2 linked regions of the Macaca fascicularis genome follow. The protein of the gene in region 1 purifies or fractionates together with the protein of each later gene. This does not show direct contact. Links are inferred from orthologs where the notes say so. Each region holds a gene or a part of one and is shown on either strand. Other genes may lie near its edges. The genes, in order: PAK1 and GIT2.

The links.
Region 2: the proteins of PAK1 (region 1) and GIT2 purify together in Homo sapiens (affinity purification with mass spectrometry; 5 studies listed by BioGRID and IntAct, with this or other methods). This does not show direct contact. The link is inferred for Macaca fascicularis from reciprocal best matches to the Homo sapiens genes PAK1 and GIT2.

The regions. Positions count from the first base shown.
Region 1 is NC_088388.1:76,357,732-76,362,109, reverse strand, and holds the start of PAK1 (serine/threonine-protein kinase PAK 1), read left to right. Parts: upstream 1-1,414; 5' UTR 1,415-2,200; intron 2,201-3,131; exon of another isoform or gene 3,132-3,338; intron 3,339-4,378. UniProt on the Homo sapiens protein: Protein kinase involved in intracellular signaling pathways downstream of integrins and receptor-type kinases that plays an important role in cytoskeleton dynamics, in cell adhesion, migration, proliferation, apoptosis, mitosis, and in vesicle-mediated transport processes.
Region 2 is NC_088385.1:116,867,011-116,871,564, reverse strand, and holds the start of GIT2 (ARF GTPase-activating protein GIT2), read left to right. Parts: upstream 1-1,556; 5' UTR 1,557-1,697; coding exon 1,698-1,749; intron 1,750-4,554. UniProt on the Homo sapiens protein: GTPase-activating protein for ADP ribosylation factor family members, including ARF1.

The sequences.
Region 1 (4,378 bases):
TGTGCTTTTATAAGGCTGCTCAGGTAACCAGTGGGAAAAACAGATTGAATTTGAAGGGACTAAAGGTTGCTCCAGTTGTTCAGGTGGTGGTACTAGAAGATGACGCAGGCAAGGACTTGAAAAATATTTAGGAGAAGCTACAAGACTTGGTGTCCAACTTGATATGGATGTTGAGAGAGGAAGAATGAGGATCTATTAGTACGTCTAGGTTCCTGGCTTAGGGGATTGCTGAATGGTGGCTCATTCATTGAGAACGGAAAGGAACATAAGCAATTTTGGGGGGGAAATTTCAAAATAAGAATTTTTTTGGGGGGGAGCCAACATTCTAAAGGGCTTGTTACTATTACTATGGTAAAACTGAGGCTTAGGAAGACCTAGTTAAGGTACTACTTATTATTACAGAGAAATGACGGCTTAGAAATGTTAAGGTCCTATCACTAATATTTGAACAGCTAGGATTTCAAGCAAGGCAATCTGATCCCGGACTCTCAGCCTTTCTAATGCTGTCTCAGTTTCGCACATATTGAATCTGAGGTACGACGAGTATGCAGGTAATGCTGCTCGGAAGGTATTGGGAAATACACAATCTGAGCTCAGGAGAAAGCTTTGGATCGAAAGTATCCTCCACGGTAAGAGAAAAAACGTGAAAGGAAGCCCATTCTTTTCCTAAGTGATTCTCCCACCTTAGGTGTGTGCTGCCATGCCTGGCTAATGTTTTGTATTTGGGTTTTATTTTTCTGTAGAGATGGGGTTTTGTCATGTTACCTTGGCTGGTCTCAAACTCCTAGGCTCAAGCGATCTGCCCACTTTGGCCTCCCAAAGTGCTGGGATTACAGGCATGAGCCAAGGCACCTGGTCTGGCCTCTTTTTATTAATCTTTCTTAAATGTATGTATAAGTCACATTGATGTCAATGTTTGATATTAGAGGTGTTTTGGTCTTTAGAAGTTTGGTGATGTCTTGTGACCAGAAATATGCCACAGGAACTTAACTCTTGTTTATATCAATTCACAATCCTATATCAGTTCACAGTAGTTCAAACTTCTCCGTTATAATTTCTTTGTCTTCCTCCCATCCCCGTCCCCTCTCCCACCTCCCACACAAAGAAAACATAATACACGTCTGGCTCTGCGATCACACAACGTCGGATAGTTTTCAACTTCAGCCCTTGACAACGAGTTTATAGATGCGGTGGTGCTTCGTTAACCTGAAGAGGATCCTCAGCCACGGAAGTTAGCCGTCTTTCTCCATCCTGGCTACACCATTAGCCCTCCCAGAAATAGTCCCAAAATTGTCTGGTAGAAATGCTGCACGGAAACTGCCGGCCAAGGACAGCGGACCGAGAAGAGTGACGCGACGCGATGACGTCACGCAGCAGCCGGGTGATTCCCCAGCCTCTGGCGTCACGCGCCGATGACGCAATCCCAGGCGTTCGCCCTTCTGCAGGCCAGGGTTTGGCCTCGCTCCTACGGGTCGGTCAGGCGCTCCCCGCCCCCTCCCACCTGCGGGAGGCGGGGCGGGCACGGCTCCGCCGGAGCCACCGCCGCGCGGGGGAGGGGGAAAGGCCGGGGGGGAGGGAAGGGGGAAAGGGCGGGGGTAAGGGGGAAGAAGGAGGAGGAGGGGAGCCAGTGAACTAGGCGGTCAGGCCCGCCTAGCGGCGTACAATAGCGCAGTTGTAGGCGGGGGAGGCGGCCCTGCCGCGGCTGCAGCCGGAGCCGAAGGTGGCGGCTGCACAGTAGACGCCCCCTCACGGCTTCCCCCACACGCTCCCGCCCCCTCGTTCGCCTATTGCGCCTCCCTCGCAGGCTCCGCCGTCCTCCTCCATAGACGCTTTCCCCCTCGGACTCTTATTCCCTTTTTCACGGAGCCCCGCGCTCTCGTGAGCCCCCTCGAAGAACCTGGTCTCCGCATCCAGTTCCCATCTCCTGCCTCAGAGGCCATCCGAGCTCTTCGCACCTCGCCCCTCAGCCCCCCACCGTTGCCCCCGCCCCGCGTCGTCTCGCTCCCTGCCGCCCCCCCATCATCCCTTCCCTCGCAGTTCCCCTGTCCTGAGGGGATCCCCGGCACTGGCGGCGCGGCGGCGGCAGGAGGGAGAAAGTGAAGCGGTAGCTCGCACACACTCGCGCCCTCACTCCCGGCTCGGCGGCACCCACCATCGGGAGGAGGAGGAGGAGCCGAGAGGAGCTGAGCGAGCGCGGAAGGTGAGAGCGGGCCTCCCGCCCGGTACCCCTCGCGTCCCGGGCTGCCAGGGTTGGGGCGCGGGGGTGGGGACGGGTGGAGTAGGGGTCTGGGCCCATTTATCTCGCGTGGCGGGGCCGGGCGCTTGGGCCGGCGGAGGCGCCAGGTAAGGTGAGGCGGGCGTCGCCCAGCGAGGCCCGCTCCCGTCGGGCCAACAAAGGCCCCCCGTGCGCTCACCGGCGGGGTCGCGGGTCTCAGACGCCGGGCGATCGAGAGACCCGGGAGAGGGAAGGGGCGGGGCGGGGCCAGGCCAGGCTGGGGCCGGGAGCCCCCACGGGTACCGGTCCGGGACCGAGTCCCTTCCGAACTTTGCAGTCCTGCAGAGCTCACCCTGTCCCACTACGAGGAGGCACAGCAAAGCGGCGCCCCAGTTCCTTCTGCATGGAATAAATGATCCCTTCTAGGCTTGGACAGTCACCTTTAGGGTTTTACTCCCTGAAAAATAAGGGCTGGTAGGACTTGACTTACGCAGCCCCTCCCCCACCGCGGAATATTCTGTAACTTGGGAAGTGAAAAACAACCGGGAAAGGAGATTTATAGTTATTTTATGTTCATTAATCCATTTGAAAAGACATGATTGTTGTAGTCTTCGCTATCCTATTTCAACAATACACATTACTGGGAATGTTTTGGAAGAATACTTGAGAAGTAGTGGGTTGTGAGCAACGTCCTTGGTTTTTAAACCCCTTGGATAATTGTTCTACTCTTACAAAAACTGAACAGTGAAGGGAAGGGTTAGTTCTGTGGTTACTAATAAAAATTCAATTCGTTAGTCTTGACTTTAAGAATTGTTCTTGAGAAAAATCTTTAATTTTGCCTCCTACATTTGTGGGTTCTCTTTCAACTCTGTCAGGAGAAAGTAGGAATTATCAGTACAGATACCTCATCTCTTACCTTGTGGCTTCATCTACTTCTTGTGTGACCTTGAGCAGGTCACTTCCAGCCTTAAAAGCTCCAGAAGTTTGGTTTTATGCCCCAAAACGGGCAGGTAGCAAGCACCAACTCAGCTTTCAAGAGTCCACTGAAGAATTCCCACACTGTGAAATCTTTGCTGGCCTCCATCCTGTCCCTCCTCTCAGACAGAACTGACTTTTTCCCATTGGCCCGGTGAGATTTCTACCACAGCACTTATAACATTTTGGTTCCTATTTGGAAAATTCTAAATCACGTGGGTAGAACCCCCACCCCCCCCCCAACTAGCAACTATGCCTTTCAAAAAGGGTTTTGGGAACATTGACGCTGAAAACTTCCCATACTTTCCCTGAAGTTTATCCATACGCTTAACTACATGAACTCATGTGTCTGCCTTGGTGAATTTGCTAATTCAGTCAATTCATTTATCCAACATTACTGGAGTTTGGAGAGCTACTATGTTTCAGGCCTCTTGCTAAGGCTATGGGGATTCAGTCTATTAAGATATTCCCGGTCTTCAAAGAGCTCAAAGTCTAATGGGTGAGGTAGACAAGTAAACAATGAAGGTCTGCCCTAATCTCTGGGGGACTCCAGTTGTACAGGTAGTAGTGTGCAATAATTGAGGCTGCTGGACCTGTTTTACAAGTCTTCTCTTGGCCAAAGTGAGTCCTGCAGGGAAGGTGACCTGCCTCATCCATAAGAGGGCATTTGGTAAAAAGCTTGTTCAGTTCAATTCAATATACATTTACTAAGCGCATGTTTTGAGTCCCAGTGCTAGGTTTGAAGGAAGCAGTGCCTCAAAGGAAGGTACTGTGCATCCAGAAAGATTTCCGTGAAACAAAACCTTACCACATCAATGCCCCCTACCCCTGACTCTTCATATTCTGAAGATAAATTTCAGACTAACATGGAATAAGAAACTCTCAGGCATCAGACCACTGCCTGCCTTTGCAGCCTCACTTTCTGTGGCTCCCCTGCCACTCTCATCTTCGCTTTTGCATGTTCTGTTTTCTTCCTGGATGCTTCCCTTCCACCCTTTACCTGCCTGTGGAGGTGTCCTTGTTGGGCCTTTGCGATGCAGTCCCTTAGTCTCTCCTTTTCCTGCGTAGAATGAGTTGCTCTTCCATCCTCTGGCTCATACACATACCACTCTTATGGTCTTCTATAGCACTCTATTGTAATTACTTGAGTTTGTGCCTTTTTTCGGTAGCCTGTGAATTTCTTTAATA
Region 2 (4,554 bases), on another chromosome or scaffold:
CTCTTTTTCTTTCTTTCCCTCTCTCTCTTCTCCTTCATTTTCATCTGGCAACCTTTTAAAAATGTAAAAATCATTCTTAAGTAGCAAGCCATACAAAAACAAATCATGGACTAGAAGTAAACAATGCATTATCTTAATTTTGAAGATGAGATTAAAACTGAAGCCTAAATAAGGAATCATCTAATATATTATTTTTTGTTATTTTTGTTGTCGTTGTTGAGTTGTTTTTGAGACAGTCTCACTCTGTCGTCCAGGCTGGAGTGCGGTGATGTGATCTCTGCTCACTGCAACCTCCACCTCCCAGGCTCAAGCGATTCTCACGCCTCAGCCTCCTGAGTATCTGAGATTACAGGCATGCGCCACCACGCCCGGCCAATCTTTTTTTTTTTTTTTTTTTTTTTTTTTTTTTTTTTTGAGACAGAATGGAGTGCAATGGCATCATCTCGGCTCACTGCAACCTCCACCCCCTAGGTTCAAGCTCCTGCCTCCGCCGCCTCCCAAGTAGCTGGGATTACAGGCACCTGCCACTGTGCCTGGCTAATTTTTGTATTTTTAGTAGAGACGGGGTTTCACCATCTCGGCCAGGCTGGTCTTGAACTTCTGACCTCGTGATCCACCCGCCTCGGCCTCAGAAAGTGCTGGGATTACAGGCGTTTGAGTCACCGTGCCCGGCCAATTTTTGTATTTTTAGTAGAGATGGGGTTTCACTATGTTGCCTAGGCTGGTCTCCAACTCCTGCCTCAAGTGATCCGCCTGCCTCAGCCTTCCAAAGTGTTGAGATTACAAGAGTGAGCCACCGCGCCCAGCCTGGAATCATATAATATACTCTTATTTTACTTTATCTACCTCAGTAAAATGCAAGCTTCATAAGGACTAGGAATTCAGTCTTTGCTCACTGCTGTTTCTCCAGTGGCTGGGACATTGTATAAAACATGGTAAGTACTCGATAAATATTTGTGGTTTTTTTTGTTTTTTTTTTTGAGGCGGAGTCTCGCTCTGTCGCCCAGGCTGGAGTGCAGTGGCCGGATCTCGGCTCACTGCAAGCTCCGCCTCCCGGATTTAGGCCATTCTCCTGCCTCAGCCTCCTGAGTAGCTGGGACTACAGGCGCCCGCGACCTCGCTCGGCTAGTTTTTTGTATTTTTTAGTAGAGACGGGGTTTCACTGTGTTAGCCAGGATGGTCTCGATCTCCTGACCTCGTGATCCGCCCGTCTCGGCCTCCCAAAGTGCTGGGATTACAGGCTTGAGCCACCGCGCCCGGCCGATAAATATTTGTTGAATAAAGGAATGAATCAATGAACTTGACCATTGATTGCCTCAGGAAGGTTGTGGCTGCAGGGTTCTCATCACAAGATATTGCTGCTTCCCCTGGTATTAATCAGTTGGGACGAGGGGAATCTCTGCCAGAGAGGGAGATCCAAATTCAATATTTAAAGGTAGGACAGATGATGCTCCAGCAGTCTCCTGCCCTCACTCAAGATGGCGACAAGGCAGCGTGCCCTTTCCGGTCACATGACCTGACACTCGCAGAAGGGCGCCTCCCCGCGCTTGCGTGCTATGCCAAGGCTGCAAGGCACTGAGGGGAGAGGCGCCGCCGTCAGCGCCGCCGCCGCTGGGACCCGTTAGAGCGGAAGCGCCGCCGCCGCCGCCTTTGCTGTCCCCGGGCTTCTAGTTCCCGGCAGGTGGGAGGCGGGAGCCATGTCGAAACGGCTCCGGAGCAGCGAGGTGTGCGCTGACTGCAGCGGGCCGGGTGAGTCGCACCGGCCGGGCCCGCTCCCCTCTGCTTTCCTGGCCCGGACCCCTACCCCGGGGCCGCCCACTCAGGTCAGGCGGCATCCTGCGGTCAAGCGTCCGCAGCCCACTACTAGGGTCTCAACGAAGAGGTCCCGGGGCGGCCTTGGGGCAGGACGTGTCCCGGGCCTGTCAGAGCCTGGCGGGCAGGGGGCCGCCGCCCTCCCAGTACCTCGCGGCCCTCCCTTTCCTCTCGTTCCCTCTAGTTCCCTCCCGTTCCCTCCGTCCCAGGCCAGCTGGGGAGGTGACGGGGGCCAGGGCTGCTCCCCCAACAGGAAGGGGCTTGGGCAATACACAGGAAAGCCAATTACAGAAGTAAAATGCGAGCGTCCTCCCGGCTGCAGCCTCCAGAGGCTGCAGGTGTCACCTCCCACTAGACCCTCTCTCCGCCTGGGTGCCCTGCCCGGGGAGGATGACACTCCCTGAGTCTCGCCAGAGGGTCCCCGTAGATGACTTCCCCGCTCCTGACATCCGACAGCTACTCTGTCGGGGAGAATTGCCAGTAGATCGGGGTCTTCCAGACACAACCAGCACTTAGGAGGCAGTGCGTGTCTCAAGTTTGAGGATCTGAATGGCCTGGGTTCAAACTAGATTTTGCTTCTGGGTGACCTTGGGCTGGTGACTTCACTTGGTCACTTGGCTTGATTTCCTCATTTTTTTCGATGAGGATAATCGGGAGTATCACGCTCAGTGGTGAGGAGGATTCAATGAATACTCGTAGGATCATATCATCTAAGGCTTTTCTTTTTTGCGTTATGCTGTCTACAATAGAACACTTGCAGTCCCTTAAAGCTAGAATTGACTATCTAAATCATACGTTGATTACAACTGAAACAAACGCAAAATCACCAGCAATATAGGGGCATTGAAACGCTAAACCATTCCTTCATAATGATGCATAACTGTTCATACATAATATTCACATTTAGAGATCAAGCGGATCTCAGCAATTGCAACTGAATTGTCAGGTCTCTGGATAGATTATTACATGCTGTTTTAGGTGCTTGGATGTATTGGCTTTGAGTTAATTCGAAGGTAACATGGCTTTCTTGGCACAATAGTGTCCGATAAACAATCTTAATCAAATCATTGAACACCACTGGCTTTGCAACTGTTCTAATCTTCAGCTTGTCATTTGGAAGTGAAGACTGATTGTAAATAGAACTGTGATAACTCAAACCTCATGTGGTGGTTTTAATGGCTGGTACAGTGCAGGTGTTACCAGTTTCCTTTGAAGATAGGGAGGGGGTGTGGAGGAGTTTAAAAAGAAGCGTTTTCTAAACCAAGTTAGTGTGAGTTATACAAACTCAAACTCCATCGTTTTCTCTAAAAATGTTATTTGTTCCACTTCCTTATTTTCTTGCCTGTTTTCAGTCGAACTTTCTGTGATGTGTTTGATTCATATGTGTCCAGCTTCTAACTTCCTCTTGGAATGCATATTGTTTTGCTTCTTGATGGGGTACGGGGCAAAGCAAAATTGTTCCTCCATTGCCATCCTAAATATACTTTTGCAGCATTTTGTGCATTTCAGAACATTTTCTCTTCCATTGTATCGCTTTAGTTGTTGTCTCATACGCCTGATCTGCAGAGACTTGAGTCACTTCCTTCCTGTTTTGAATATAAGTAGGCTACCTTGAAATATTCTGTGAAATTGAGCAGCCTGGAATTTGTGCTGCCTTTTCTGCAAAACCCTACTGAGAGAATTACCTGTAGGGTTAGGGACCCCTTTGAGATTCTGAGGAATGCTAAGGCCTTCTCCCCTAAAATGCACGTGAACGAATTTACCTAAGATTTGTCTAGGGGAGTCACGGACATTTTTGAAGTTCATTTGTGGTGTCCCTGGAGCCCAGGCATAAAGCCTCCAGATGAACTTAAAGGGTTTTACCCAATCTCATTCATACAAACTTATTTTTATTTTACCACGTTATCATTCTAATATTCTTTCCATGGGATTCTGATCCAGGATGCTAAAGTGGTTAGTCGAATACTTGTCTTAATTAATATGTGTTAAATACTTGCTAAAAAAAGAATAGTGCAAATCCTCTGAATGGTAAGTGAAAACCAAAGGTATACTTCAAAACAGTCTTTTTTTTTTTGGCCATTAGTGACAGTACAATACCGCAGGAAGCAGTGTTGTTATGCATCTTTGTAGAGCTCCTTCATCTGGACATTTCCAATCTCTGCTTTTTAGGATGATATAGTAATAGTGACAGTTATAATAAATTGAATTATTTTGATTCTATTTTATGCAAACATTTAACCATGATCACTTCTTAAATATTCTATTTTTTTGTGTGTTTGTTTGTTTTTTTAATGAATCTGGTTCGTTTCAAATACATCACACTCTGAGTTCAATTACTTGACAACTCCATGGAGATTTTCAATACAGTAGTATAGTGGTCACATGAAATGTTCAATGTTTTAAATATTTCCCATCAAAAACTTTTTCCAGTGATCGTGAATTTCACATCTAGAAAATATCTGAATTACTGAGAAAATAATTTAGAAAAGATATAACAGCTAACATTACTACTTTACTATGTGTGAGGTACCTCACTGATTCTCTATATCCTCACTATCCTGAGATATGTTATTATTCTCATTTGAGCCATGGTGAAAACACTCAAAGAAGTAGCTTGTCTGAGATCACTGTGCAAGAAGTGGCAGAGTTGGGGTTCAAACCCTGAATTGCTTGTCTCTAGAGCCAACCCTCTTAACCACCATAGTCACTGGCTCCCAGGATTTGTCTTTGATTGAAAGCCCA